Callithrix jacchus: one gene and its partners. The protein of the gene in region 6 purifies or fractionates together with the protein of the main gene of each other region. This does not show direct contact. Links are inferred from orthologs where the notes say so. Each region holds a gene or a part of one and is shown on either strand. Other genes may lie near its edges.

Region 1 (4,424 bases), on a different chromosome or scaffold from region 6:
ATCAGGACCTTACTTTACACCATACTCAAAATGGATCGGAGACCTAAACTAAGAGCTAAAACTAGAAAACGCTTTGAAAAAAATAAGGCATCAATCTTCACAACCTTGGATTAGGCAGTGGTTTCTTGGATGTGACACTAAAAAAGCACAAGTTGCACTTGGTGAATCAAAAGCAAAGTAAAAAGTAAAAAAGCGCAAGTGACCCAAAAAAAAAAAAACAGGTTAAAATGAACTTCATCAAAATAAATAACTTTTGTGTCAGAGGACATTACCAAGAATGAAAAGAAAACCCACAAAATGGGAAGTAATACATGCAAATCATTAATGTGATAAGAGAATTATACCCAGAATAAACTAAAGAACTCTTAAAACCCAACAATTAAAAAGGTAAATAGGCTGGGCAGCGTGGCTCACACCTGTAATTGGAGCACTCTGGGAGACCTAGGCAGGTAGATCATGAGGTCAGGAGTTCAAGACCAGCCTGGCCAACACTACAACACAGAAATTAGCCAGGCATGCGCCTATAATCCCAGCTACTCAGGAGGCGGAGGCAGGAGAATTGCTTGAACCCAGGAGGCAGAGGTTGCAGTGAGCCGAGATCCTGCCACTGCACTCCAGCCTGTATGACAGAGCAAGACTCCATGGGGTAGGGAGAAAGCTGCATATTGTAGGACTCTGTTTATATGAAATGACCAAAAGAGGCAATCTATAGAGAAAGTAGATTAGTGATTGCCTGCAGTGGCTAGATGGAGGAATCAGGAGTGACTGCTAATGGTATTCTTTGGAGATGACAATAATGTTCTAGAATTAGTTAGTGGTATCTGATGCATAATTTTATGAGGACTAAGAAACAATTTAATAAGCTTCAATAAATGGGTAAATTTTATGGTATATAAATTAAATCTCATTAAAGCTGTCACTTAAAAAAATAATTAAAGGCTGGGTGAGGTGGCTCACACCTGTAATCCCAGCACTTTGGGAGGCCAAGGTGGGCGGATCATGAGGTCAGGAGATCAAGACCATTCTGACCAACGTGGCAAAACCCTGTCTCTACTAAAAATACAAAACTAGCTGGGTGTGGTGGCGCATGCCTGTAATCCCAACTAACTCAGGAGGCTGAGGCAGGAGAATCGCTTGAACCTGGGAGGCAGAGGGTGCATTGAGCTGAGATCATGCCATTGCACTCCAGCCTGGGCAACAGGAACCAAACTCCTCTCAAAAAAAAAAAGTTATATATACATCATAAGGTCTATTATAAAATAATTCAATTTTAAAAACCTGGAAGATACTAAGTGTTTATCTGTGTAATAAGATTATGGATGACTATAATGCAAAAAAATTGTAAACACTTCAACAGTTAGCTTAGAAGGTGGGAGAGCTGCCTTAGGTCACAAACTCCCAACCTCTGATGGCAGCCCTGACTACAGTGTAACCCCATTCTGTTACACAGAAGTTACATGTTGCATTTTCACCCACTCTGGACATTAAGAGACCAGGGTCCTACTTTACTGGCGCTGTAAACCAGAGATCAATCTGATTCTGCCAGTACTTTTTTGTGTTCATTTTTGTCTCCTTAGTAATCAGCCCACAGCAAATTTGTGTTCAGTGAATCAACTATCTGGAACTTATAAATTTGTCCAAATGAATCCTTCACTCGCTTGAAAACCATTTATCAAAGAATCCACACCTGAACTCAAGGCTCTTCTGGGGATGATCCACGACGGGTCTTGCAGGGTAATGGAGTTGGTGCCCTGGAATCCCCAGACCAGTACTTACGTTTCCCCAGCAACTTTCTGCACTAATTTAGCTTCTGTCCCATTCAGTTCCAGCTCCCAACCTCCAGACATCTTAGGGAGGGTTTTATGCTTCTGGATTTTTCTTTCCTCCTTAATTTCATCACTCAGGAAATCAACAAAAGCTTTGTCTCCTAGAAATCCAGATACATTAAAAGGGAAGCCAGTTAGTCTAAAACATAAAATTATTACCCAAGTTATTGTAGCCAGAAATCTGGCCTGTTTCTAATCTCTGCTATTATGCTTACTCTGGAAGCCTCAGTTTCCTTATCTGTAAAAATAACACAATAGTATTGCGAAGCTAAGGACGTCCAACAGCGAACGCATTGCCACCTTCTGTTGTAAAGCAGAAGAACTTCCAGGCATCCTCTTCCACTGCCAAACGATTTAACTATGCTATTTTCAATCACGACCTTGGGCTTTCCCAAAGGTCCACTTTTGAGAGACTAAAGCTAAGGATAGAGGTACCCTCTAGTATTTATCTACCCCGTTCCAACAGAAAATGAAACTTGTGGAAAGGCGAGGTGGGGAAATATGATCACACGTGGGTTTAACCCGCTGGTTGCCAATCAATGGAATAATGTCCCAGATCTCGGAGGTCGGTTGCAGGCGCCACTCCTGGTCTACGTTTTTCTTTCGTAGACCGCAAACCCCAACAACAGCCCTGGCCCACGAGCATGAACCTCACCTTCGGTGTGCAGCGCGCCGCAGCCACAGCCGCAGGCGCAGGGCCCGCGAGGCCGCAGGAGGCCCGGCCGCTGCTCGGAACCTGCGCGCACGCTGAGCAGCCCGAAGGGCCGGGCGCAGAGCTGGGGCGCCGGCTGCAGGAGCTGCCGGAATGGCGAAGCAGGCGAGGCGGGAGCCGCGGCGCGGAGGCCGGCAACGGAGGAGCCCAGTACACGGGGCACGCAGCGTAGCAGAGGCAGCATCGCGGAGAGGACTAGGAACACGTGCAGACGCAAAGGACTACCCAACTCTAGGCTCCCCGCGACCTAGCCCGCTGCCGGAAGCCCCGCCCCGTCAGGAAGCGCTTCCCGCGCCGGCGCTCTGAAGACCTAAGGCCAGTGGGAGGAATCGCGCCCTCTGCTGGAGACCTCCGGTATAGCCCGGGAAGCCTCGAATTTTTTCCGCGAGCTTTCTTGCTGCGTTAGCCTGAGGCCGCTGTCCGAAGCTGTTTAATTCCCTTCGGTGGCTGCTTAGACATTTTCCATCTACTGGTCTCAAGCCACACCGTTTTTGGGCTGCGTGGAATGCACTCTTGTCTCCCCTCAGCTCTTACCAGACCCTTACACGGTCACTTTCCTCTAGGAGGCTGTGGTGTTTCTGTGTGTGTGTGTACAGGTTTTCATCCACAGTTCCTGGCTGTGGTGTTACAGTGTGTGTGTGTGTGTGTGTGTGTAGGTTTTCATCCATAGTTCCTGGGAGGCTGTGGTGTCACGGTGTGTGTATAGGTTTTCATCCAGTGTGTGTGTGTGTGTGTAGGTTTTCATCCACAGTTCCTGGGAGGCTGTGGTGTCACGGTGTGTGTATAGGTTTTCATCCAGTGTGTGTGTGTGTGTGTGTATAGGTTTTCATCCACTGTGTGTGTGTGTGTGTGTGTGTATAGGTTTTCATCCACAGTTCCTGGCTCTTAACTCTCACAGCCCTTGTTACAGTGTTCTGTGATAATGTTGGGTGTGTTAGGCCTCAGAGAATAGAATCTCTCTCCCCTCCTCCTCCCCTTTCACAGGCCCCATAGCGGGACTCTCATCTCCCCCCACATTTCTGATTGTGGGTCTTAAGTCCCTCCCCAGAGAAGGTCCCACCCTATACCTTGGGGAAAGAGATGCTGAAGTTTGGAAGCTTCCATAAAAACCCAAGAGGACAGGGTTTGGAGAGCCTCTGAGAGCTAAACACTTGGAGGTTCCTGGAGGGCTGTAGCCCTGGGAGGGGAGCTCATCTCCTTATCCGCATCCTCGGTCATATCCTTTACATTAAACCAGTAAATGTGTTTCCCTGAGTTCTGTGAGAGGCTCAAGTAAATTCATATAACCCAAAGAGGGGGTTCAGATTTAGATTAAGAACCAAGAATCCCACCTTCTCAGGATACACAGGACATATAAGCTACCAAGAAGGTATGGCTTACTAACTCATGATAAGACTAACACTTAATATCTTCTGAACACTCCTGAGTCACAGGACACCTTTATAAGAAAAGAAAAGCTATTTTCTAAACAATTTTCAATGAATAACGGAAAGGAGATTCAGAAAACGAGCCACACACATCATGTAAGATTAGTTTTTAATGGATTTGATCATCGGGTGCAAACTTGAGCATTATGTACAAGAGCTTTCTGTAGTTATTTCTACACAAACAAAAGCCTGAACCTACTTGATTTTTTTCCTCCTCCCTCTAGTTACCAAGGAATGCTATCTTAGATGCATGGCCTATTATCACACTGGTCTTTAAAAAAAAAAAAAAAATGCATGGCCACAGTTCCAGGCAGTTCCTGGTAGCTGGATTTAGGATTTATATATCACAGTACAGTACATAATCAGTTTTACCCACAGTGCAAAACTTGCTTCCATTCAGGCATCTCTTTGCAACTGGCAGCAATGCAGCATTAGGGTTTTTATCCAGGACATGGTGTT
Region 2 (4,433 bases), on a different chromosome or scaffold from region 6:
GGCCCACTGAGTATTGTGCTTCTTTTTTAGCAAGCAGAGGGTTCCAGGTAAGGCAACCTGTCTTTCTCTTTGGAGGGACCATCTCAACATGTCTCAGCCCACTGGATGCCCAGAAAGTTCACTGAGGTGTCACCTCCCTGAATTTTCAAGGGGCTTATCTCTCACCTTGTGGTGAGACATTTGCCACTTCCTATGCATCAACATGATGTCTGGGGGTACAGTGAGATGATCAAATCAGTTCCCAGGGACTCAATTATGATAATGTGCAGAGGCTTCCTTTGATCTTTCCTTCATTTATCACCCTCAGTCCTTGAGTCAGGAAGCCCCTGTGGGAATTTTTCCAGCCACCAATTGTGTTTATTCTAAGTATGGATTCAAGAAGTGGGGAGAGAGCCACAGGGTGGCTGAGAGTGAAAGGGACATGGGCTGACTCCACTTCTGACAGTGGCATTCTACTTCCCCAGGGATTAACACGAGCTTGTGCAAGTCTCTGGTAAATGTCCATGGGTCCCAGGGTAAAGTAGGAGGCAGGCTTAAACTACACACATGTGCCTGGCCTCACTTTTACAGGCTTACCTCACAGGCTCTGGCCTGTGGACTGTCTAGATCTGGGAATTAGATGAGGCACCATGATTTTCCATTGTGGTGATTCAAGACAGGATGCCTTTAGCCAGATCTAGCGTTACAGGGGTTATACAGATCATGATGGCTTACTATAGGACACCACGATCAATTAGACAGCACCAAAGATCCCTGGGGAGAAATCAGTTTGGTTCCAGCTTCCAGCCTTGCTGCCTATCATGATACCCAGGCTCATCCTGTTTCTATGAGATTTAGTGCCAGTGCTTTGTCTCTGCTGTTTGGCGTGAAGCCTGGTCGTAGAGTTCCAATTGAGGTGTGCTGTGACAGTAAACACACACACACCGGAAAGACCTTGTGGGGACCAAAAAAAAAAAAAAAAAAAGCAAAATATCCCATTCATGCAGTTGTGTTTTGCCTATATGCGGAAATGATAATATTTCGGATACGCTGGGTTAAAAAAATTCATTATTAAAATCAATTTCACCCTTTTCTTTTCACTCTTCTTCCATGTAGCTGCTAGAAAAAGTCAACATGTGGCTCATGCTCTGCTCCTAGTGGCCATCCGCTCTAGCTGGATGGGAACTGCAAGCAGCAAAAGGCTTTCAATCTCTCCGAGCCTCAACATGTTCACTTTTGAATCAGGACTAATCCGACACCAAGCTGAGAGAGTCAGTGTCAGAAAGCAAAGAGCTACCGACTACGCAGCGCTCAGCCGTGAGCCCAGGCGCAGGCGCGGAGGTAAACCCGGAGGTAAACCAACGACAGCTGGGGACACGCCCACAGACTCCGGGCTGCCGGGGAGGGCGGCACTAGCGCTTCCAGCCGGGGCTAATCGGGCTGGTAGAGGCTCGAGGCGCAGGCGCGGTGGCGCGACCCTGGCTGAGCCAGCCAATCGCATTGCGCGGAAGATCCGCGCGCCCGAGCGCCTCGGGTCGCCCCGGGAAAGGCCCCGCCCCCTCCCGCTCCGCGGCGAGGCACGCACAGGGTTGTGCGCGGAGGGGCAGGCCTAGCAGCGCGGCCTCACTGGACTGTGGCGGCGGGAGTCTGCGGTAGTTCTGCGGGCCGTGGACCAGGCGGTACGCACGCGGTGCAGGGTAACATGGCGGATGCGGAAGGTAAGGGCTGCAGGCGTCCGGACTATGCTAACTCCAGGCGACTCGGGGAGCCGGGAATGGGGGATGGTATACGGGCCCGCGCCCACCTCCCTCTGATTCCCGCCGGCGCGTCGGCCTCTTAGCCGACCGGCCTTGTCGCTCGGCCCTGGCTCGATGGCGACGGCGGGAGTGGGAGTCCCTCGCGGTGACTTGGTATGGCGGGGCTCGGGCCTCTCACCGATGACAAGCCTCCCTGGGGTCCGGGTTTTCGTCGTAAGACATCTGTCGTGCTGCCCACCCCGTGGTGGCGGGGGACGTGGCAGCGTTTGTGCTGCTGCTAGCCCGGACGCCGCCAGTATAGCTCCATGCGACGATGGGAGCAAGGGTGGTGGAAACGGGCCGAGAAGAAAAGGAGCCGGGGGACCCGTGAGCAGACATAGCTCCGAGTTGCAAGAAACTTCTAGAGGCCACAAGCTGGCGGGGAGAGTCGAGTGGTCGCTTATGGAACTGTCGGGTCCCCTGCGTGAGCGCTTCTGTGGGATGTTTAAGCCCTGCCATAGCCACGTGGTGAACCGGAAGGCAGTTACCCAGCCATGCGACCCATATATTTGGCCTTACACACTTTGTTTTCTCGCTGACCTACGGATATACTTTCTGAGAAATGGGTCGTTAGGCAATTTCATCGTTGTGGGAACGTCGGAGTGCTCTTACACAAACCGAGATGGCATAGGCCACTACACACCTGGCTGTATATGGTGAGCCTATTGCTCTAGGCTCCAAACCTGCACGGCATGGTACTGTGGGGAATGTTATAGGCAGTTGGAGCACAGTGTCGAGACGATGTGTATTTAAACATGTCTAAGCGGAAAAAGGACAGTAAAAATATAGTACAGGGCTGGGCATGGTGGCTCATGCCTGTAATCCCAGTACTTTGGGAGCCCTAGGCAGGCCGATCACCTGAGGTCAGGAGTTCGACACCAGCCTGGCCAGCATTGTGAAACCCTGTCTCTACTAAAAATACAAACGTTAGTTGGGCATGGTGGCGTATGCCTGTAATCCCTGCTACTTGGGGAGGCTGAGGCAGGAGAGTCGTTGGAACCTGGGAGACAGGTTACAGTGAGCCAAGATTGTACCACTGCACTCCAGCCTGGGCAACAAGAGTGAAACTGCATCTCAAATGTGTATGCATATATAGTACACAAGGTTAAAAGTGGTGCACCCGTAGAGGAGAGCACTTGCCATAAATGGAGCTTGCTGGGCTGGAAGTTGCTTTGGTTGAGTCAGTGACTGAATGTGAAGGCCTCAGACATTACACTACTGGAGACTTTATAAAGTCTGTACACTTAGGCTACACTAAATTTATAAAAATATATTTTTCTTTTTTTTTATTGCATTTTAGGTTTTGGGGTACATGTGAAGAACATGCAAGATTGTTGCATAGGTACACACGTGGTAGTGTGATTTGCTTCCTTCCTCCCCTTCACCTATATCTGGCATTTCTCCCCATGCTATCTCTCCCCAACTCCCCACCCCCCGCTGTCCCTCCTCTATAAAAATATATTTTTCTTCAGAATAAATCAGCCTTAGCTTACTGTAACTTTATAAACTATTTCCTTCAACCCTTGTAATAACACCTAGCTTAAACACATTATTCAGTTGTACATAATTATTTTCTCTGTTTATATCCTTATTTATAACTCTTCTACTTTTTTTTTGTTTTTACATTTTTTTTTTTTGTTAAATAAGACACAAACACACACAGTAGCCTTGACGTACACAGGTCAGGATCATTAAGACATCACTAGGAGACAGGAATTTTTCAGCTCTGTTATAATCTTATGGAGGCCACCGTCACATTTGCAGTCTGTCCTTGAACAAAACATTATGTGGCATGTGACTGTAATTGTAGACCTAAGATCCATTTCCTACCCCTAATTTTGGTTTTTATTTTAAACTCATGCTCATTTATTCTTGGGGAAAATTCTCAAATCCTGTGTTTGTTTTTTTTTTTAGTGATTATTTTACCAAAGAAACATAAGAAGAAAAAGGAGCGGAAGTCATTGCCAGAAGAAGATGTAGCCGTGAGTAGTAATGTGTTTGACTTCACTTTGACTAAAAAGAAGGTTTACTTAAATAACAAACTAAAGGAAAGAAGTGTTTTAAAGGTTTCCAAGAATGGGCCAGGATTGGTGGTCATTGTGTAGATTTGAAAAAGTACTGATATGACAGCCCCAGACAGTCCAAGTCTCCTTCAGGCATAGCTTACTAAATGGTGCTGGGCTTCCCAACTGCTGTCTCTGAATTTCTCTTCCTTATCCCACCCACAGACCCACTATCCCCCTTTCTCTTTAAATTTTTGGACCCATCTTAGTGGCATTTCACTTCCCCTCTGTACTCCTGGTTCATTTCTTCTCTTTCCCCTGGAGGTCCCACTGAAAAGGCATAGAAAGCCTTACTTTCTATTTAAAAGGCACACATTTCCGTGGTAGCAATGGAATTATTCAAAATCGGGTGGGAAGTCTAATAGGTTATATTTCTCTTCTGTGGAAGGAAATACAACACGTTGAAGAATTTCTTATCAAACCTGAATCCAAAGTTGCTAAGTTGGACACGTCTCAGTGGCCCCTTTTGCTAAAGGTATGTGGTTAAGATCAGGCATCAGGTGAATGTCTGCTTTTATGTTATTTCCAAGTGTTAAACAACTGATAGTGTTTAAAGCAGGGTTCCTTAAGGTATCTGAAATGAAGAACCAAGTTT
Region 3 (4,389 bases), on a different chromosome or scaffold from region 6:
AGATGCTCTGCCAAGGCCACAGAAAAGGTGAGGGAACCGAGACTGGCACACAGCCTGTGTGGCTCTCAAGGGCAGGCCCTGTCCCCAAACCAGCCTCCCCTCCAGATAGGAGTGCTCCTTCCATTCCACTCCCCACTCCCCCTCTGCCGGGGGACCTGGATCTCTGTACCCCGTGGACCCCGTACCTCAGGAGTGATGGAGCCACAGAGCTGACTGATGAGGGCGAGCTGGTGCTGCTCCGTGTTGCCCTGCATGATGGGGCTGCGGGTCCACATCTCTGCCATGATGCACCCAGCACCCCACAGGTCAATGGGGGGGCCGTAGTCCCGCTCCCCTGGGAAGAAGAGCGCACCAGGAGGGCCCCTTGAGCCCGAGGGCCTCCTGAGGCTCGATGCCCCAGGGCCGGCAGCTCAAGAAGCCCTGGCATTGGGGGTGGGGGCCAGGTGGATGCCTGGCCCTCACCCCCCTCGGCCCGCTCGGGAGTCCTCACCGAGCAACAGCTCCGGGGGCCGGTACCAGAGTGTCACCACACGGTTGGTGTAGCGGTTGGGCTGGCTATTCTTGGCCAGGCTGAAGGCCCGGGCCAGCCCAAAGTCTGCCAGCTTCAGGACCCCATCACGAGTGATAAGCACATTAGCAGCCTTCATGTCCCTGTGCAGGATCTGCAGGAAGGGCAAGAGTGGCTTCTTCACTCACATCCACGCAGGAGTGGGAACCAAGGCCAGCCCCAGCCCGGGTCCTCCTCCCAGCTCTGGCCCCCACCTTGTTCCTGTGGATGTAGTAGAGGCCGTTAAGCAGCATCTGCATCACCCTCTTGATCTCAGACAGTGTGAACTTGACCAAAACATTGCTCAACAGCCCAGCAAGGTCATGCTCACAGAAGTCAAACACCAGGTATATACTGCCCTTGCAGCGGTTATAGGGGGAAGCTGAGGCAGGAATAGCAGAAGGAAGAAAAAGTCAAGAAAAGCACACCCAACTCACTTTCCCACAATCAGCTTCTTTCTTCCTGCCCCGACCCACAGACACCCATGCCCTCCAGAGCATCCGTCTGTTCCTTCCTTCACTGGCCAAATATTTTCTGAGTGCCTCCTCTGGGCCAGGTGCTGTGGCAGGCCCCGGGGAAGCATCAGCTATGATGACAGAGGACCAGAGAAAGCAGTCACCATGGGTCCATCTGGGTTAAGAAGAGGCAGTTTAGGTGTGTCCAGTTCCAACTCTGCAAACAAAACCTTAGGCTATAAGCGTCATCTTCTCACAAGAGCCAAACAACTTACCTTTGGTTCGACAAATCTCAATCAAGTTGACCACATTCTCGTGTTTTAGAAGCTGAAGGATCTTGATCTCCCGCAAGGCTGTAATGGGGAACTGGGTGGGAGAGGGGGAAGTGGTCAGGAGAAAGCACAGTACAGAGCCCAGCTCTGGGTTCTATACTCAGAGACAAGCTGGGAGACAAAGCAAGAACACGTGCTCTGAAACCAGCTGTCTCAAAAGCCTTATCTGTAAAATAGGTATAGCAGGGGCACACACACCTCAAAAAGATGGTTTCAGACTACAAACTGAAACAGCAGGACTTTGCTACTAGCCACTAAATGCTCCGCGGTTTCAGCCTGTAACTTGAGCTCTACGGGTGTTTTGTTGGCAACAAACATGATGACTTAAAAACGTCCTTGCTAGAGCAGGAAAATGAAGGTTTATGGGAAACTATACTAGAGCTAAGACGCAGTGGAGGGACTGCTCCTTTTAAATACGTTAAATAATTATTAGTCACCTTCCAAAAACCATGCACATATATCTCTTTTACATTAAGCAAAATATAACACTAAGAAAGAGGTGTTTAAAGGCTTCCTAACTTCGTGTGCACACGATGCAAACATTAACTCCCCCTCCCGGCCTCAACTATAACTGCCTAACAATGAAGCATTTAGGTTTTAGGGTGGAGGCCAAATTCCTTGGAAATTTCTAAACTGCTACAAACAAAATGAATCTCAACCTGAGACTCGTTGAAGCAGCAGGGTGGAAAGCCAACCCGGGGTCCCGGGTAGTTAGACCGCACGCCCGATCCGTACTCACCCCCTCCTTCTCATTTTCCATCAGCACCTTCTTCAGAGCCACCTTCTGGCCGGTCTTGCGGTGCTTGGCCTTAAACACCTCCCTGCAGGCGGAAAGGGAGACCCGAGAGAGCTCATCAGGCCGTTTCCGCAGGGCCCGCCCCTCCCCCACTACAGGAGGAGGGGCAGCAGCAAAAGACTCCCGGGCGGCGCTGGACCGGGTACCCAGAACACGCGGCTACCCCACGCGGTACCCGACACCCGGTCTCGTTCAGAGCCTCTGCTTTCTCCCCTCAGTCCCTTCTCCTCACTTGGGCGTCTCTTGGAGAGATCCCACTCCCCTGACGGTCACTTCTCTGCAGCCCCTCCCCGCCCCCCACCAAGGGCCTCAGGCTCCTCCCCACCAGCCGGCTCCGTCAGGCCCGGGCGGGGTGCGGCACGGCCTAGAGACTTGTGGACAAGCCCAGAGACAGGCGGTTTCTCTACCACCTCCAACCGGGTCCCCGGCGTCCAGACGGGGTGCAAGCCCAGTACTCCCATCCCCGAGGGGCACAGCCTTACCCGAAGGTGCCTTGGCCGATCTTGGCAAGCTTCTCGTATTTGGTAACTTCATCACAAAAGGGGCACTCAACTGAGTCGTACTGCTTTGCCATGGCCGCCTCCAGCGCGCCGCCGCCGCCCCCAGCCGCCGCTGCTGCCGCTCCCGCTCCGGGTCCCGCCGCCGCGCTCCAGGCCCCTCCGCGGCCGCGCCACTTCCGCCTCCACGGCCACTTCCGGCCCCGCGGCGCCGACCCCGCCTCTTCCGCCCGCCGCCCGCCGCCAGGCCCCCTGGGACTTGTAGTTCCCGGGAGGCCAGGGGGAGCCGGAGCTGCAGAGGCGCCTCCGCCGCCGCCGCTGCCCCCGCCTCCGCCGCCGCCACTACTGGCGGCGGCCCCGATCGGGGGCGCGGGGAGCCGGGGCGCCGGGGCTGGGGCTCGGGGCGGCGCGTCCCGCTGCATTGGCCCGGGCCGCCGCTGCTGCCGAAGCTGCTGCCGCTCTGGCGCCAGATCCGGGGCCAGCCGCAGTGCCCTGCTCCTCCTCCTCCGACGGCGCCGCCTCCGCCGGGCTGCGCGGGGCGGCGGACGGGGGGGCGACCCCCGAGCCGCGGCCTGGGGGCTCCCTGGCCGGGCCCGAGCGCGGGCCCGGGGCAGCCGGGCGAGGGGGCGAAACGGGAAGAGCCGACTAGGAGGTGGCCCGAGAGCCCGGGAGGGGGCGCGTTATAAAGGGGGAGGTGCCCTGCCTCGCCCTCCCCTCCTCCTCCGCCCGCCCCCTCCCTCCTCCCTCCCACCCTCCGCGGCCGCACCTGCCGCCGCCGCCACCGCCCGCCCGCCCGCTCGCTGTCCGCCGGCCGCCCTAGGCGCGTCACCGCCCGCGGCCCCTCCTCCGCCTTCGGAGGTGGGGCCCCGCGCTCGGCACCTGGCTGCGGGCGCCCCGCCGCGTGCCTCAGTTTACCCCCACATGCCCGCTGCCGTGGAGAGCCCCTTCCTCCTCGGCTCGGAGTGCCCCCCCGAGAGGCGAAGGCGGGAGGCGCGGAGGGAGCGTCCTCCGGCCCTGGGAGGAAAGAACTGCCCCCGCCGCCGCCTCCCCCGGTCCCCGCCACCCGCCGTTGACATGGCAACCGACGGCCGCCAGGGGGCGCGGCGGCACTGGAGACGGCGAGCAAGCAACGCCCGGGCCCTCTATTGCTGGAGCGCGGCTCTTCGGGGGGCAGGTATGGGACCCGCAGGATTCCCGCTTCCGCCGAGGAGCGCCAGAGCTGGTCTGGCCCTGGGTCAATAATCGCAAAAAACAGCTGCCATTTTTCTCAGCTCTCTCGTGTGCTCAGAGTGCTGGGCGTTCCCGCCGAATCCGGGATCAATTGCCCCATAGTCAGGATCACTAACCCATTTTGCCGAAGAGGACATTGAGGCTCAGAGTGGTGAGGTCGTTTGCCCAAGGTCACACGGCGGCAAAGCTGGGACCCGGACCTGGGTGTCTGAGTGTGAAGGGGACTCTCTTGATTCACGCCATTTGCGGTTGGGCCAGTAGGAGAGCAGTCGGGAGACCTGCTGTCCTTATATGAGGGTGCAAGCTCACCATTCACCCTCCTCTTCTCCCTTCCCCATTGCGCCCATCCCTTCTCCCTCCGCCCCCATCCTCCTGGTTCCAGTGGTCTCCAGATTCCCCCTCCAGCTCTGCCCAAGGACCAGCCTCCAGCAAAGCCGTCTTTTCTGCCTCTGCCCGGCTGCAGTTTGCCCCCTCCTCTCCAGCCCTCTGCTGGTGGATCTTGAGACCTGGTCCCCTGTCTGGCCTCTGTCTG
Region 4 (4,060 bases), on a different chromosome or scaffold from region 6:
TTCCAGCCTGGGAGAAAGAAAGAGACAGACTGACTCCAAAACAAAAAAACCAACAAAAAAGCTCCCTACCAAGGGCCAGTAAGACAGTGTCCGTGAAAGAACAAGCCATCAAAGCAGCAAATGGGTACTGGGCCCGAGAGGGCGGCTTACATGTGGCGATCAATTTTCTTAGATTCCCGGTATCTTCTGAGCAGCCGGCGCAGAATCCTCATTCTCCTCATCCACGTGACCTTCTCTGGCATTCGGGCATTGGCTGTACCCTTACGCTTACCTGTGGAGAAGATGAGTTAGGAATGGGCCACTGTCTGTAATACAGAAATGAATATAGTTTCAGGGTCCTTAACTCATTTAATCCTCACCACCTCATTTTAATTAGCATTAATTCCATTTTCCAATGATGATCCCAACTACTCAGCTCCGTCATTTACTCAATTTTAAAGGAAGCACAGACATGGCAGTAATTCCCCATTCACTTCATACAGAATGTGGGTTTAACAGGCAGTGCACCAAAACAGCATAGCCCGTTGTAAGGAGCTTCCCTCAATCATTCTGACACTAGAAAGTAATTTTAGATTTACACAGACAACATTCTCAAGGACCCAGCAGAATCCTTGGCATAGTATAGGTAGGGACTTAGTGAATGTGACCTCCTACCAGCAATACTCTCAATTCCAACACCAGCACCAACTTTCTGATTTGCACACAGGCAGAAAACACATCAAATATCAAGGAGTAGGAAATGAACTCAAGATGAGACAGAGTGCAAAGATCTTGAATATATTTCAGTGTAGACACCAGCACCCATGATTTCTTACCTATGCCCATGTGCCTGCCCTTCCGGCGGGCCAAGGTGTTTTTCCGGCAGCGAGCCCGGGAATGGACCGTCACAGGCTTTCGGATGATCAGCCCATCTTTGATCAGCTTCCGGATCTGCTGACCTGAAAGGAGAGGCACTGCTCACATTCTTGGCTCCATGGTCTCAAAAAGGATAGAAATACTGCAACTTGTTTATTTCTTGCCTCCGAAAACCAAACAAAATCTCTATCTTTTCTTTTTCCTTCACAAACAGAAGTTGTGAGAGATACTGTGTCTTTCAGTCTCCCTATGTTGCCCAGGCCCATCTTGAATTCCTGAGCTCACGATCCTCCTGCCTTAGCTTCCCAAGTAGCTAAGATTACAGATGCCTGCCACCATGCCTGGCCTTTTCTACTTTTTAAGTATATTACAGCACACTCAAAAGAAAGAGCCTGATACAATGACTCCTCCATTTCATACATCCCCTGAATAATGAGCTTTCCTAGGTTTGTAAAGTCAACACAGGCTAGGTTGTGTGGTGGCTCACGCCTGTAATCCCAGCACTTTGGGAGGCTGAGGCGGGCATTACCACCTGAGGTCAGCACTTTGAGACCAGCCTGGCCAACATGGTGAAACCCGATCTCTACTAAAGATACAAAAACTAGTCAGGTGTGGTGTCATGCGCCTTAGTCCCAGCTACATGGTGGGTGAGGCAGGAGAATCGCTTAAACCTGGGTGTGAATGCTTGGACCCGGCTGCAGTGAGCTGAGATCTTACCAGTGCACTCCAGGCCGGGTGACAGATTGAGACTCTGTCTCAAAAATAAATAAATAAAGAGTAAATTAGCTAGGCGTCGTGGTGCACACCTGTAATCCCAGCTACTCGTAGAAGGCTGAGGCAAGAGAAATCATTTGAGCCTGGGAGTGGGGTGGGGGTTGCAATGGTAAGATGGCACCACTTAACTCCAGCCTGAGCAAAGAGGGAGACTATCTCAAAAAAAAAAAAAAAAAAAAAGGGCAACAAAATTGTGTTATCATTTATCTGATGCAGGACAAGGGAAGGAGATAGGGTGAAGAGGCAAATCCCAGGTACTCACGCGAGTTAGCATTGGCGATTTCATTGGTCTCATTCGGATCCAACCAGACCTTCTTCTTGCCACAGCGGAGGACACTAGAGGCGAGCCTCTTCTGAAGCCTGAGCATACTGGACGCACAGAAAACATTACTAGACCCTGAAAGCCAATCCTGGGCAAGAATGAACGTTCCCCAAGACCCACCCTTTGCCACCCACACCACAGCTTCGAACTCAGACTCTCCCCTAAATCATCTTTAAGGCTCTGGGCTGTGCAGCTGGCCCTCCTGGGTTTAGACTTTGAAACCCAAGCTATGCCTTTACCTCCCTGAGCCTCATGTTTGCATTTCTCTCCTCTGGAAAGTCAGGCCAGGGATTTATTGGAATGAACAGGGGGCTTACGATATTTCTGGTACTCAGCATTTGAAGAATATTCGAGGTGAGTAGACTTGATTTCTAGTCTAGAAACGCAGGCAAGTTACTCTGCTTTCTGGGCTCATTTCCTCGTTTTATCACAGTAACAAGCCACGTTGAGCCATTCATAGAGATTTCCTTTATGAGTGGCCAAAGGAATGGAAAGCGTCCATCACCTCACTCAGCAGTCGAAGGCCTGGTGCCTACGCCAGGCTTGCCCTACGTCACGTGAAAGCAGACATCTGCTTGGCTCTGGTTGTGCCCAGCAAAAAAGGGTCCACGGCTCGGTCCAGTTCGCTGCCTTTGTTCTGCCCGCGTGGGTCGACCCGACACGTGTGCGGCGTGGCGCCTGCCGGGGCAGCCTTTCCGGGTCTCAGCGGCTGCGACGCTCCCCGCTCCCCCCACTCCGGAGGCCTGGGACGAATGTGCGCCGGCCTACCCCAAACTCCGAGACCAGCCGCTTTAGGGCGGCCTCCAATCTCATCTCCCCTAACCCCGGCTGCGGTCCCAAGCCCGACCATCCCCTGCCGGAACGCGTCATCGTCGGCGGGAGACCCACGGGCCCTTACCTCATGGCTGCGGCAGCAGCAGCGAAAGGAAGGAGCTCGCTTGGGCCTGGCTCCTCCCATTATCTGCAAAGGGGAGAGCCCAAACCCCGCTCCAATTTCGTCTGTATTCCTGTCCGGTTCTTTCATCTTCCGCCACCCCAAACTCACTCATAGCCTCCACAAAGACCTGGAATGATAAACGTCTAATATAGGAAATCGGATTTAAACTTAAAAACATAGAAAGTGTACCCCTTCCGTAGGGAAAGTGGTATAGTCCTACTTCCTACTAGACATGCGCAGCAAAGGCACCCGATCACGTGATTATTTGTAACCGGAAGTGAGTTGGATTGCGCAGGCGGAGTGAGAGAGATTTTGCTAGAGGCCTGGTGTTTGTGGGCGTTCAGGGGGTTGCGGATGCGTGTTTTATTGGCGGGAAAAAAATCAGTTAAGAAGCGAGAGAGAATAATGACAGCAGATATCAGACAAAGGCGATCTCTCATTCACTCTCGTAGTAGATTGAAAGCCCCTGGAGTGCAGAATAGATCACTGAAAGATGTTAGTTTTTACGCCACTGCGGGTCTTTAATCTCTTGGTGCCTCAATTTCCTCCTCTGTAAAGTGGACCTAATCCCAATATTTCTGTCATCCAGTTGTGAAAATTACTTGAGGTAACGTTTGCAGTTAGCAAAGGAAGGCATTAAGATAGCCGACTCTTGGAGGGTGGGAACCAGTCTCATTTGGCTCACAACTGTACTGTGGCAGACATGGATCTTCGATCGAACACACCTGAGAAATACTGCATTGGTTGCATGGACGAATGATTGCAGAAAAAAAAAAAGAAAAAAAGGGCTGGGCTCGGTGGCTCATGCCTGTAATCCCAGCATTTTGGGAGGCCAAGGTGGGCGGATCACTTGAAATCAGGAGTTCGAGACCAGCCTGGCCAACAAGGTGAAACCCCGTCTCTACTAAAAATACAAAAATTAGACGGGCGTGGCGGCGGGCGCCTGTAATCCCAGCTACTTGGGAGGCTGAGGTGGGAGAATCACTTGAACGTGGGAGGCGGAAGTTGCAGTGAGCCGAGATGGCGCAACTGCACTCCAGCCTGTGGGACAGAGTGAGACTCTGTCCCCCCCGCCCCAAAAAAAAGTCAGGACCACTCAGTTCTTTTCTTCTGATCTGGAGCACTCAACGCAAAAATCCAATCAGAGCATTCTGGGGTTTAAGAAGTCTATA
Region 5 (4,351 bases), on a different chromosome or scaffold from region 6:
CTCCATGCAATGTGGTGGTGGACAAGATGTACGAGTAACCCTGGGTGTGACAGGCACTAAGCAGACAGGACTCTGGGGCACTGGTGTAACTGGTCTTCGGCCCCTGCATAACCCCAGCATTTGCAAGTCCTGGGCTGGCTCACCAAAGGGTTTGAGCAAAAGGCTCTCTGCCTAGGCTGTCTTAGCCCCATACGTATTGCTTTCGGTCTTCTGCTCTTGCACAGGTCAGGACGTTTTATGGCTACATGTACTCCCACTTCTGGCTAAGAAAACAGATGGAAACTTACAGTGTCTCTGGAGAAGAATGACACATTAACAGATAAGTAAGAAGCAATGTAGCTAAGCACTACAACAAAGACACAGTAGATGTTTTAGAGCCCTGGAGGAGTAGGGCGAGGAAGGCTCTTTGGAGGAAGTGATGCCGAACTGAAGGTGAGGAAGACATGGGATCCTTTGCAGAGCGAACAGGAGAAGCAACGCCAGAGAGGTGAGAAATTGTGTGTTGTACGCCAGGAACCACGAACGCTTCTGCTGACGGAACACGAAGCAGTCACATGGGGCTTAGGAGGAAAAGCACCTGAGGACAGATCATGACTTGCAGATACTGGATTTCAAAAATATTGGTGATGTGGGATCAGATTTGTTTTAGGAAGATGACCCTGGGCTGGTCTGTGGAGGAGATTCGGGGGGGGGGGGGACACAAATGAAGTTAAGGCAACCAGTTAGGGAACATGTAGGTGCAGAAGTCCGGGGAGATGCAAAGGGCCTAAGGTCGGAGAATGTATTTCAACAGGAGGTGAAGGAGGTAGGGCTGAGGGGCACTGGATGTGGGTCAGGGCAAGAGGATGAGGAAGACAGAGGAGTCCAGGACAATCCTGTGTGTCTGGCTGGAGTCTGAGTGGCTGGTAGAAACTAGCAGCTAAAAGAAGAGAAAACAGGTGGCAGAGGAGCAGCAGCAAAGAGGCTTTGGGGGGAAGAAAACGGGCCGTTTTTTGGCATTCTGAGTGTGAGGTGCAAGGTAGAGACGTCAGGCTAGCAAGGCTCACTGGAGCTGCAAGCAGGAAAGGGCTGGGTCAACAACTTAGCTTTAGAAACCACCAGCATACATGGGGTACCCCGAACTGTGCCAGCAAACAAAATCTCGTAGGGAGACCCTAATGGAATCAGTCAGGAATTCTGGTTTTCTTTCCTTTTCCACCAGAGTTCCCAGGAAAGCGTATTTTCTTTTTTGGGGTACTCGGGTGATTTCTCTTCAAAATAAAACAAACTGAGAATATCAGTGGTGGGGAGATACTATCTGCTCTTCTAAGCAGATTCTAATGTATTAATACCAGCAGCAGCTAAATCACACTTAATCTTGCTGCAGCGTAAAACCTCTATCACACATTGTGGTTCATATCATATGGGCTCACTCAAGAGTTTACAAAAAATATTTTTGGATCAGGTAAGTGAAATCCTTCAACAGCAGTGCTGTGTGATCTGGCCACTGCCTACATCTCCAGCTTCATCTCATAACACTTTCCCCCTCCCCAGCTTACTGGTCTTTCAACCACTCCTAGGGGAGGGCATTCACTCCTTCCTGTCACGGCATAGGTGGTTTCCGCCCATCTCTCTTCAGATCCCAGCTGAACATCACCCAGTGAGGCCTTCTCAGAACAGCCTCTCACGAAGAGCAACCTCCTTCACTTTTTTTTCTATTACCTGTTTTTCTTTCTTTCTTCTCTCTTCTTCTTCTTTTTGTTTTTAGAAGACAAATTCTTGCTCTATCGTCCAGGCTGCAGAGCAATGGTGCAATCTCGGCTCACTGCAACCTTGCCCTCTCGGGTTTAAGCAAGTCTACCTCCCCAGCCTCCCGAGAAGCTGGGGCTACAGGCCCGCGCCACTGCGCCTGGCTAATTTTTGTATTTTTGGTAGAGACAGGGTTTCACCAAGTTGGCCAAGCTGGTCTCGAACCCCTGACCTCAGGTGATCCGCCCGCCTTGGCCTCCCAAAGTGCTGGGATTACAGGTATGATCCGCCATGCCCGGCGTACTACCTGGCTTTCATTCCCTTCACTACACTTACACGAGGTCTACTTTATTTGCCTGATTGTCTCCTTGCTTTATCACCAACAGATCCTCCAGAGAAGGGATTTTGTCTTCTCGCCTGCAGCCCCCGCACGTAAAGGTGCTGGTCAAAGAAAGGCGGGAATCACCGGCGGGACAGCAGGGCAGCGCAGTGATGCCAGATGCCGGTAAGCTGGGGAGGGGGAGAGTGTTATGAGATGAAGCTGGAGATGTAGGCAGTGGCCAGATCACACAGCACTGCCGTTGAGCTGCATCAGGGCAGCCCAGTGATGCGAGATGCGGGTCAGGGAATCCGCCCCATGTGGGTCTTTTCTCAGCTTCCCCGCTCACCGTGACTTTCGCAAGTAACAGAACCCCCTCAACCTGTTTCCTCAACTGTAAAAAGGCACTAGACAGCAAGAAGCAGTTCTGGCAGCGCGGAAACCGGAGGACACTCTCGGTGTCACGACAACGCATGGAAGCCGCGTTCCGCGCCGCCGCCCCTGCCCCGGGCCCGCCATGTGGCGCGGCTGACCGCCGCCGTGCGCCCACCTGTCTCCCTCTGCGTCTTCACGCTGATGTACTGGCGCAGCTTCTTCACCGCCCGGTCCCGGATGCCCTTCTCGCTGGACGCCAGCCGCTGGGCAAACTGGATCTCGGCCGGCTGCATGGCGGGGGCCATCGCGCCCGCTGGGGCATCCCCGGCCGCGCAACCCACAGTGCCGCTGCCGCCAACCGTGCACCGCTGAGCCGTCGCCGTCCGCACGAGCCGCGACTGCGCAGTAGGCGGCGGTGACGCGCGGGCTGATGGCGTCACAAAGGCGCCGGCGCTCGTGGTGCGTTCTGGGAGTGAGCGCGGCCCTGGCCCTGGCGGCCGTCGTGGCGGTCTGTCCCGCGTGTGCTTGGCTCCGTCGCTGCCTTTCGATTGCCAGAATTGAGGCTGTAGACGGCGAAGTTAGCCAGGGTTAGGACTTGGCCGGGAGGAGACGGACGGATGTTGGCAAACGGTCTAGGAATTTTTATTTGTTTGACACAAGGTCTTGCTATGTCGCCCATGCTGGAGTGCAGTGGCGCGATCTCGGCTCACTGCAGCCTCGACCTCCCAGACTCAAGCGATCCTCCCACGTCGACCGCCGGAGTAGCTGAGACTACAGGCGCGCGCCATCACGCCCCGCTAATTATTATCATCTTTTATAGAGACGGGGTCTCGTTGTGTTGCCCAGGCTGCTCTCAAACTCCTAGCCTCAAGCGATCCTCCCGCCTCGGCCTCTCTGAGCGCTGGGAGTACAGGCTGCAGCCACCGCGCCTGGCCACGGTCCAGGATCTTTTTTTTTTCTTTTTGAGACGGAGTTTGGCTCTTGTTACCCAGGCTGGAGTGCAATGGCGCGATCTCGGCTCACCGCAACCTCCGCCTCCTGGGTTCAGGCAATTCTCCTGCCTCAGCCTCCTGAGCAGCTGGGATTACAGGCATGCCCAGCTAATTTTTTGTATTTTTGGTAGAGACGGGGTTTCACCATGTTGACCAGGATGGTCTCGCTCTCTTGAGCTCGTGATCCACCCGCCTCGGCCTCCCAAAGTGCTGGGATTACAGGCGTGAGCCACCGCGCCCGGCCCGGTCCAGGATCTTTAGTCCCCTTTAGCACACCCCGTTGGGCCGGCAGCTCTCCTACGAAGTTTTTAATTGTGGAGCCTCCGGGTCCCCCCGGGTGGAGTCGAGAGTGGAAGGAAAGGCCGGCACTGGGGCCTGCTGAGCGGGTGGAGAGCGTTCCTTTCGCCAGCGCCAGCGGAGCCTCGGGCAGCTCGGCACGCCCCTACCCCGGAGCCCTGGTGCCAGTGCAGGGGCGCCCGCGCCGGCGTCCCGAGGCCTGGAGAGCACGCGCGCTTCCCGGGGGAGCTGGGCAGGGCGGGCTGCTTGGGAGGGAAGAAATCAGCTTTGGGTTCATGTATAACCCGAGGCCATCCTATAGCTTGCGGACTCGGCAGGCGTTAATGGCCTAGATGACTCCAAACGTAGTGTGTGGGGGGTTATGTACGTTAACCCCATTCAGTTATCTGGGCGACCTCCCGAGATGCCTGTGGCCAAATTCAACCCTTAATATGAAAGCGCCTGAATCCCAGCGAGGGAAGGCGGGCCGCGGAGGCGAGTTTCCAGCCAAGATTGCCCGTTTCAACGCAGTCCCCCTTAGGGCAGCACTCCCCGCCAAGCAGAAAGGACCCCTCCGATTTTTTTTCTTTTTTTTTTTTTTTTTTTGAGACGGAGTTTCGCTCTTGTTACCCAGGCTGGAGTGCAATGGCGCGATCTCGGC
Region 6 (4,101 bases):
ATAAATTCATGGTATACTCCAACAGGCTCCAAACTCAATACAGAAAGTCCAAATTCAATCCCAATAGAATAAGGTCATGTATGTCTACAGATTGATGATGTGTTAAACAGGTTTCTTTTCTTTCTTCCTGCTAAAATCCCAGGTAAAACAACAGGGATTTTTTCGTTTTTAAGAGACAAGTTCACTTTTTCTTTTTTTTTTTTTTTTTTTTGAGATGGAGTTTCACTGTTGTTACCCAGACTGGAGTGCAATGGCACGATCTCGGCTCACCGCAACCTCCGCCTTCTGGGTTCAAGCAATTCTCCTGCCTCAGCCTCCCGAGTAGCTGGGACTACAGGCGCACACCACCATGCCCAGCTAATTTTTGTATTTTTAATAGAGACAGGGTTTCACCTTGTTGAGCAGGATGGTCTCGATCTCTTGACCTCGTGATCCACCCGTCTCGGCCTCCCAAAGTGCTGGGATTATAGGCGTGAGCCACCGCACCTGGCCAAGTTCACTTTTTCACAGGCTGTGGTAGAGGTGTGATCATAGCTCACCGCAGTCTCTAACTCCAAAACAGGAATTCTGCACTTTGCCTATCTCACAAGAGCAAATGAATTTATATAAAGGCAGTTTAGGGCCAGGTGCAGTGGTTCATGCCTGTAATCACAGCACTTTGGGAGGCCATGGCAGGAGGATTGCTTGAGGCCAGAAGTCCCAGACAAGAATGGGCAATATAGAGACCCAGTCTCTATAAAAAATTTAAAAATTAGCCAGGCATAGTGGCACACACCTACACTACTAGCTACTTTGGAGGCTGGGTTGGGAGAATTGCTTGAGCCCAGGAATTCAAGGCTGCAGTTACCCATAATCATGCCACTGCACTCTAGCTTGGGCGACAGAGTGGAACTCTGTCTCTACAAAAAATAAGAGATACTTTATGAACCAAAAAGCTATAAAAACTCACAGTCTATCACCCCTGTGTAAAAAAGATGTACTTAATTTAAAATAAAATAAATAAGTTACAAGAATATGGAAGGAGTGACATCTCGGAACCAAGTAAGATAGATGACTATGGCTCCTATTTGAACTTTCTGAGTCTCTACACCTTTTCAAACTACTGAAAACAATTAGACAGGTGTTGCAGCCTCCTTAGAAGCCTGTTCTGGCAGAGCTCCAGAACAATCTTGGAAGTACATATTACACTGAAATCTGCTTCCCGGAAACGTCAGGCCTGGTCTGTTCTCCAATCAAAGATTAAGAATAATCTCCTTGCCAATGAAAAACAAGCTAGTCTCCTTCCAAAATTTCATTCTTTTTCATCCCTTGGTTTCACCAAATAAGACTGAGTTTTCCCATGCTGGTGGTCTCTTTTGGAATGTAACAGAGTTTGGTCATGTACCTCTGGATTTGAGTATGCCAAATTGAACACAATGACTGATGCAGCGTAAACCACTACCTTCTTGCACCCGAGTACAAATCTGCTGCAGCTTCCTACAATTCTAAAATATTGCTGTTGTAAGAGCTCCACATCAAAAGACAGAGAAACCAACAAGGAAAGTTAATTCTAAGTAGTGTACAATAGTTCAAGGACAATCTGTTCTCATTGACTTTATCTCAGAACAGAGACTCGGTCACAAGTTAAATCACTAGAAAGCCAACAGCAAAGCAGCAAATGGCTGTCAAGGTTAAGACTACTGCACACTGCTGGCCTATATAAAAAAATAATGTACACTTAGCACTGCAACATATGCCTTTACATTTCCATGGGAAATCTAGTCAATATAATATTAAGAACTGAACTAATCATCTTCTCAGGGCGGCTTACCGGAAAACAAACTGTACTTCCCTTCCCAAAGTTAAAAACTCACTAAAGGCCGGGCACGGTGGCTCAAGCCTGTAATTCCGGCACTTTGGGAGGCCGAGCCGGGTGGATCACAAGGTCAGGAGTTGGAGACCAGCCTGACCAAATGGAGAAACCCCGTCTCTACTAAAAATACAAAAATTAGCCGGGCGTGATGGCTCGCGCCTGTAATCCCAACTACTCCGGAGGCTGAAGCAGAATTGCTTGAACCCGGGAGGCAGAGGTGGCAGTGAGCCGAGATCGCGACACCGCACTTCAGCCTCCATCTCCCCTTCCCAAAAAAACCGGGGCAACAAAGACGCCGCCCACGTGCACAGATGAGGTTATGATGTCTCCAGTTTGCTATAAAGCTCCAGTTCCAACTATGACTTGACTTGTAATTCCTTTCGCTCACGCTCACGCCGGCAGTTAAATCTTAGTCAATAACGTGGAGCCTGACTGAATGTCAAACTCTGCGCACTGTGTGAGGCGCGCCCAGTAGCCAGGGACCACGTGGGACACCGGCCTTCTCTCGAGCTCGGATAGGGCCTCTCTACCAGAGTTCCTAGGACATGTGGATGCCTAAAAGCTCAGAAGAAGAGGTCAGCGCGCGGCGAACCTGGCTCAGTCAGGCCGACGACGCGCCCACTGCCCGAGGAGCGGACCACTCCTGGGCGACCATCCGCTAAGACCCACGCCCAGTCTCTAGACTCGCTATTCCCCTCCACGCGCTCCCACAATTCCAGCGCAGGCACTTCTCCTGTACCCCAGGGCTCCGCTCCACTCAACGTCCCTCCTTGCCCCAGGTCCCTCCGTTTCACCTTCTCCGTTTGCTTTCGCAGTGTCTCCACTTTTTTCACTGCGGTGACTGACTCCAAAGCAGCGTCACTACGGAGTTTTCCGGGCATCTTCAGCACAGATTGCCCAGGCCGACCGGTCTTCTTAACCGCGTGGAGAGAGAGGAAGAGATAGTTCCGTCCCCGGCGCCCACCCAGCTCTCGTCACTTCCCTTAACAAGGCACTTCCGGCGGAAGCAAGAAGCAAAGGGAAGGGTGCTCTCTGCGTGGAAAATTGAAAGCAGCGGCCTCTGACTGTGGCTGGATTTAGTGAATTGACCACTTGTGGCCCTTGGTCTAGATGGTGGTTCCTTTTAGACCAAGGAACGGTAGAACCACAAGGAACCAAAAGGGTTAGCTTTGTATTCCCCAACGTTGGCCAGATTTTCCCTAGCGCCAGTCTGATAAATGAAGGCTTCTAGTTGTTTTTGAGTGGCGCATCTTCAGTACTTTATCGCTCGAGTTTGCACGTACAGACGCCAGATGTGTGTTCTTAGTCATCTTTTGGAAACATTGACCCTGAAACTGCAGGCAGACTCTGAAGAAAAAAAAGAATTAAGTCGGATCTGGTCGTTCATTCATGCGTGCACTCAAACATCTTGCCAGCGTTCACCGTATCAGGTAGGAGAGACGGCAGGATTCACTAGCAAACAGAAAAGCCTTATCCCCAGGAAACTTTATAGACTAGCGAGAGAGAGAGAGAGAGAAGTTTTGTGGGGGTTTTTTTGAGACAGACTTGCCCTGTCACCCAGGCTGGAGTGCAGTGGCACGACCTGGGCTCACTGCAACCTCCGTCCCCTGGATTCAAGGGAGTCTCCTGCCTCAGCCTCCTTAAAAACCAGCCTTCAATCAAAACCCCTATGTCTCAAATATATATGCGCAAAAAAACAAATTTCAAAAATGGGTTAGAATCATAGAATCATATCTGACATTGAAAATCTGCCTTTATTTGCTCAGGTTTTTTGTTTTGTTTTGTTTTGTTTTGTTTTGAGGCAGAGTCTTGCTCTGTCACCCAGGCTACAGTGAACTGGCGCTATCTCAGCTCACTGCAACCTCTGCCTCTGGCGATTCTCCCAAGTAGCTGAGATTACAGGCGTGTGCTACAACGCCTGGCTAATATTTGTATTATTAGTACAACGCCTGACTAGTTTTTGTATTATTACTAGAGAACTGGGTTTCACCATGTTGGCCAGGCTGGTCTTGAACTCCTGACTTCAGGTGATCCACCCACCCACCTCGGCCTTCCAAAGTGCTGGAATTATAGGCATGAGCCACTGTGCCGAGTCTATTTTTCTGAGACAGGTTCTCCCTTTGTTCTCCAGGCTCGAGTGGAGTGCAATGGCATGATTACAGCTCATTGCAGCCTTGACCTCCCAGACTCAAACAATTCTCCCACCTCAGCCTCCCGAGTGGATGGGACACAGGCATGTGCCACCATGC
Region 7 (4,267 bases), on a different chromosome or scaffold from region 6:
AACCAGTCAATTTGACAAAATAATTGAGGTTAGGATAGTCCAAACAAAAGACCATCAAAAGCCAATTCACAATTTGCCCTGGAGGATGACCAATTGAGTTGATTCCAATTCAGAACAGAGATATTCAATGAATGACACCTCATGAAATACTTGTAAGAATTACTCTTATTTTGGATAAAACTTGATTTTTAAAAATGTGATAACCTATGCCACTCAACAAAATGTAGCGAAACATGGCACACGCTAAACTTCATACATACAAAACTGCAATCTACCCACTGAAAAGGCTGCAAATCTGCACACCAAAGTTACCATTACATTGGGTCAAGGGTTAAAAGCAGTGATTTTGAAGGTATGGCTCACATTATTCTTGCTAAAAAATGTACCCAGACCTAGGCAAGCACACTTAAATCTGAAAAACACTGGTTGAAGGGTTAGACTAGTTCGGAGACTCAGAATAAGACAGAAACACAAACTAAAACACTAGTAAGTTCAGAAAGATCAGTTAAAAAGCTATCAGTATATCAATCATATATAAGCATTCCCCTCCTTCCTTGCTAATAAGCTATTATCAAAAAATTAATGAAAAACATAGTTACAGCCACAACAGTGGCAACAGTATAGAAGGTTGGAAAATCCTAAGATTTTGGAAGAAACAAAACGTTTTCCCACAATTGCAAAAGTAGAGAATAGACCATCAAATGCTTCTCTCTTACTCTGTTTCCACGATAATGTATGATTGATTAATGAACGAACGGTTTTTCATCAAGCTATGATTGTCTGTCCTTAAGCTTGATTTCGTCCATTTGTTGTCCACTCCACAAACATTCTTAATTGTTCTTTTAATCATCTGCTTAGGTCTTCTACAGTAAGAGAATGCTGAGATGGCACTATGTACCATACCTATAAGGCCAAGATTCCTATTGGCATACCCAGGGCTCTACACTCATGTAAACTGCACTACTAAGCCTTGGCAGCCATCTTGAAAATGATGCCTGGCTCACAAGGGAGCCCATGGAATCCAGTGTACTGCACATTACCAGCAACAACCCGAAAGTAAGTCCTAAAGATGGAGCCTGCAGCTTTGCCTTCAAGCAAGAACAATGTCAAGTTACCAGGGACTATGGCCACTCTAAGCTATAGCCAGAAATCTAATAGAAATCGATTTAATCAGTATGATTTTAGGACAAGGAAGAATGAAAAATAAGAACTGAAGAAAGCAAAGAACCATTTTCTAGCAGATACATTATTCTATGAGCAAATAAAAACAGCTTCTCTCTGGTGCTAATATAAAATTTATCTAAGGTATTACAATGAAGGTGAAAAAGGCAACACCTCTCGGTAAAGATGACAAAACCTCATATACTTGGCACGTCAAATCTTACCCCCAAAATGTTAACAAGGTGTAAATATCCGATGTCAGTGGATCACTCTCTCAAACACCGAGTTCAATCAAGTAGAAAAGGATAACAAGGATAAAAATGTACAGGACCGTAGTTTCCCGTTTACCCTGTTAAGGCATGGCTCATTCACTTTGCTTGCCTTTTAAATTGCTTTGTACTGTAAGAAAGCCTTTGAAGTTGGCTTCAAATTAACATTTAGCTGCAAAACAAAGACCTTCTCTAGATCCACTAATCCCTCCAGTCGTCAAGGAATTAAAAAAAAAAAAAAAAAAAATCACACTAATACACCAGAGGTAGTAAACGCCCTTCGGGGCTTCCCAAGCGCCAAGAAGCCGACAGAGCAGGCAACAAGCGAGACAGTGGGATGGAAGCTTCAGGGTCCGGGAGCTCACCTGTTGATGAAACCATATCCGTTCCTTACATTGAACCATTTTACTGTTCCCAAAACCTTCGTTGCTGGAAAAGAAAACAAAGCAAAACAAGCCACGATTACCACCTATCCTTTTCCAAACCCGCCCGGCTTCGGTCTCCGGTCCCTAGGACGCTGCCCGCTAGGCCACCTGACAGCCCTTTCTCTCCACCTCCCGGGTGCCGGGCCACGCCACCACCGCCGCCGCCGCACACGTGGGTGAGTCTGAAGCCGCGGGGCGCTCCAGGGCAGGCCCGGGGCGCGGGCCCAGAATGGGTGTGTGCGCAGGCCGCGGGCGGAGAGCACGTGAGGGAAGGGGAAGCCGCCCCGGCCCACTCCGGCCTGCGTAGGCGGTGCGCCGCGCCCTCTGAGCACACGCGGAAGGGAGCTGGGTGGGGGAGACGCGAACAACGGCGTGCGGGCCACAGCGCACGAGGCCGGTCGCGGGGAGGGGACCCCGTCGCACACGCGGTTGGCGGGCGCGCGACCGCAGGGGGAGGGGCGCGCGTCCGCGCGGGGTCCACAGGGGGCGCAGGAGGCAGAGCGCGCGCGCCTGCCGGGCGGGCCCCCGTGAGGATGAGTGGGGGTGCTGGGGGAGGGGCGGCCGCGCGCCGCGGAGTCGGTCCCCGCCGGCCGCGCGCCCGCCGGCTCGCCCTGCACAGGCTAACGGTTCCGCTGCCAGGCTGCCCGAGGGCCCCACACCCGTCCCCGTCCGGCCCTCACCGATGACCTTCTTGTCCCCGCCGGCAGGCGCCGCCGATGTGAGGCCGCCCGGGCCACCGCTCCCTGCGCCGCTGCCCGTAGTGCCGGGCTTGGTGTCGGCGGCGCTGAGGGCGGGGGCGGCGGGGGGGGCGGCGGGCGGCTGCTGGGTCTCGGCCTCGCTGCTCATGGTTGCGGTGATGGTGACTGGGGCCGGCTACGGCAGCTACGGCTCCTCCCGGGATGTGATGGTAACTAGGCCGGCGGCGGCGGTGGGGCTGCTCAGGGCTCTCTGGGGTCCGCTCTCCGCTCCCGCTACCGATCGAACTAGCGAGAATGGCGGGACAGGCGGGATAAGCCCTACGATCGACCCGCCCTAGGCGTTGTTCACTGGCCACTGCTGCTGTCAATCTGCCCACCTGACCCCAATTCCTGGCTTCTACTGGATAATATTTTATCAGTTCTCCACTCTCATTGGCCCTTTGGCGGCTAATTCAGCCGACCTACAACCGTTCCTGCCTCCGCCGGCCGCCATAGAGACCGGAACTAGAATTAGAGTAGTCGGCCACAAAAACCATAGAGTACCCGAGAGGACGGGCAGAGAGAACGTGATTTCCACGAGGCAGCCGCCGGGCTGGCTAGCCCCACGTTCAGGGTTGTGTCCCAGCTGAAGAAAAGGCACGCCCGAATGCTGGGCAGGAATTACCCGGCCGGACCCGAGATTGGAGGGGGGCCCGACTACGCATTAGCCCTTCGTAAAGAGAAGGCTTCCCTCCCTCTCTGCTCCAAATACAGTCCTTGTGATCTGAGAACATGACTGCAGGCATAAAGTCATCTTTTCTTTAATGGCCGTGTTGTGGCGGCACAGCCTATGGTTTCTGGAATTGCCTTAAACGTATGCGTTTGAGGAGCTTACGCTTTTGTCGGAGCAGTCACCTTGGAGGGACCACGCAGGCTCAGACAGCCTGGGCTCAGCACGTTTAGCATGTTTAAGGCGAGGGTGTGCTCCATGGGGACCTGCCTTCTGATCCGTTTTACCAGGCATACACATGTATTAAAAAGAAGTGTCTTCGAGTGTTCATGTCTTTTTCTACTGGCCACAAATCAGATTTAATTCAACTCACATTTATTGAACAAGCTAGCCTGTTTGGTTTTTCCATTTTATTCCGACAACAGCCATGTGATAGAAGGATTACTATCCACGTTTCACAAACGATAAAATTGAGGCTGCCACCTGATGTTACTGAAGTCCTCCACCCACCGTCTTTCGTTCTTTTTTAAGCGTCTACTATCGGCTGGGGATGGAATAGTTCTCGAGTCAGTTTCTGCCTTCTGATGGCGGCAGGAATTTAAACAGCTAGCACTGGAAATACTCGAGAGCTGCAAAAGCACGAAATATTGGGCCGGGCGTGGGTTCACGCCTGTAATCCAAGCACTTTGGAGGCCAAGGCGGGCGGATCACCTGAGGTCGGGAGTTCAAAACTAGCCTGACCAACATGGTGAAACCCCGTCTTTAAAAAAATAAAATTAAATTAAAAGCACGAAGTATTTTGGGAGTGGAAGCAGGGAGAAGGTGGAGGGCTGACTTTCCGCTCACAGGGTACAGGCGAGAAGAGGTGGGATCTCGGGAAATGCAAGTCAAGTAGTTCAATAAGACTCCAGTGTGGCATTGGGTTGCAGAGGTGGGCAGGGTCACAGGTATATTTAATTGGAAATATATCCTAAGGGCAAGAGTGAGAAGAGCAATTTTAGAGTC

The links.
Region 1: the proteins of DDX21 (region 6) and C1QBP purify together in Homo sapiens (co-immunoprecipitation; 3 studies listed by BioGRID and IntAct, with this or other methods). This does not show direct contact. The link is inferred for Callithrix jacchus from reciprocal best matches to the Homo sapiens genes DDX21 and C1QBP.
Region 2: the proteins of DDX21 (region 6) and DKC1 purify together in Homo sapiens (co-immunoprecipitation; 3 studies listed by BioGRID and IntAct, with this or other methods). This does not show direct contact. The link is inferred for Callithrix jacchus from reciprocal best matches to the Homo sapiens genes DDX21 and DKC1.
Region 3: the proteins of DDX21 (region 6) and CDK9 purify together in Homo sapiens (affinity purification with mass spectrometry; 3 studies listed by BioGRID and IntAct, with this or other methods). This does not show direct contact. The link is inferred for Callithrix jacchus from reciprocal best matches to the Homo sapiens genes DDX21 and CDK9.
Region 4: the proteins of DDX21 (region 6) and RPL19 purify together in Homo sapiens (affinity purification with mass spectrometry; 3 studies listed by BioGRID and IntAct, with this or other methods). This does not show direct contact. The link is inferred for Callithrix jacchus from reciprocal best matches to the Homo sapiens genes DDX21 and RPL19.
Region 5: the proteins of DDX21 (region 6) and RRP1B purify together in Homo sapiens (affinity purification with mass spectrometry; 3 studies listed by BioGRID and IntAct, with this or other methods). This does not show direct contact. The link is inferred for Callithrix jacchus from reciprocal best matches to the Homo sapiens genes DDX21 and RRP1B.
Region 7: the proteins of DDX21 (region 6) and YBX1 purify together in Homo sapiens (co-immunoprecipitation; 4 studies listed by BioGRID and IntAct, with this or other methods). This does not show direct contact. The link is inferred for Callithrix jacchus from reciprocal best matches to the Homo sapiens genes DDX21 and YBX1.

The regions. Positions count from the first base shown.
Region 1 is NC_133506.1:106,968,152-106,972,575, forward strand, and holds the start of C1QBP (complement component 1 Q subcomponent-binding protein, mitochondrial), read right to left. Parts: upstream 2,816-4,424; 5' UTR 2,723-2,815; coding exon 2,482-2,722; intron 1,928-2,481; coding exon 1,777-1,927; intron 1-1,776.
Region 2 is NC_133524.1:150,505,986-150,510,418, forward strand, and holds the start of DKC1 (H/ACA ribonucleoprotein complex subunit DKC1), read left to right. Parts: upstream 1-1,550; 5' UTR 1,551-1,681; coding exon 1,682-1,697; intron 1,698-3,689; coding exon 3,690-3,757; intron 3,758-4,226; coding exon 4,227-4,313; intron 4,314-4,433.
Region 3 is NC_133502.1:176,410,554-176,414,942, reverse strand, and holds the start of CDK9 (cyclin-dependent kinase 9), read right to left. Parts: upstream 2,809-4,389; 5' UTR 2,705-2,808; coding exon 2,613-2,704; intron 2,156-2,612; coding exon 2,074-2,155; intron 1,369-2,073; coding exon 1,278-1,368; intron 930-1,277; coding exon 763-929; intron 663-762; coding exon 491-662; intron 335-490; coding exon 186-334; intron 1-185. Other genes in the region: SH2D3C (SH2 domain-containing protein 3C), read left to right, coding at 3,549-3,801. UniProt on the Homo sapiens protein: Protein kinase involved in the regulation of transcription.
Region 4 is NC_133506.1:119,687,376-119,691,435, reverse strand, and holds the start of RPL19 (large ribosomal subunit protein eL19), read right to left. Parts: upstream 2,917-4,060; 5' UTR 2,855-2,916; coding exon 2,850-2,854; exon of another isoform or gene 2,457-2,849; intron 1,999-2,456; coding exon 1,892-1,998; intron 939-1,891; coding exon 816-938; intron 272-815; coding exon 151-271; intron 1-150.
Region 5 is NC_133522.1:49,330,123-49,334,473, reverse strand, and holds the start of RRP1B (ribosomal RNA processing protein 1 homolog B), read right to left. Parts: upstream 2,825-4,351; 5' UTR 2,728-2,824; coding exon 2,598-2,727; intron 2,239-2,597; exon of another isoform or gene 2,234-2,238; coding exon of another isoform or gene 2,115-2,233; exon of another isoform or gene 2,065-2,114; intron 2,008-2,064; exon of another isoform or gene 1,617-2,007; intron 488-1,616; coding exon of another isoform or gene 444-487; exon of another isoform or gene 362-443; intron 1-361. UniProt on the Homo sapiens protein: Positively regulates DNA damage-induced apoptosis by acting as a transcriptional coactivator of proapoptotic target genes of the transcriptional activator E2F1.
Region 6 is NC_133513.1:61,121,728-61,125,828, forward strand, and holds the start of DDX21 (nucleolar RNA helicase 2), read right to left. Parts: upstream 2,832-4,101; 5' UTR 2,734-2,831; coding exon 2,647-2,733; intron 1-2,646. Other genes in the region: uncharacterized protein LOC100388015, read left to right, coding at 3,145-3,282.
Region 7 is NC_133508.1:79,327,244-79,331,510, reverse strand, and holds the start of YBX1 (Y-box-binding protein 1), read right to left. Parts: upstream 2,841-4,267; 5' UTR 2,702-2,840; coding exon 2,536-2,701; intron 1,860-2,535; coding exon 1,796-1,859; intron 1-1,795. UniProt on the Homo sapiens protein: DNA- and RNA-binding protein involved in various processes, such as translational repression, RNA stabilization, mRNA splicing, DNA repair and transcription regulation.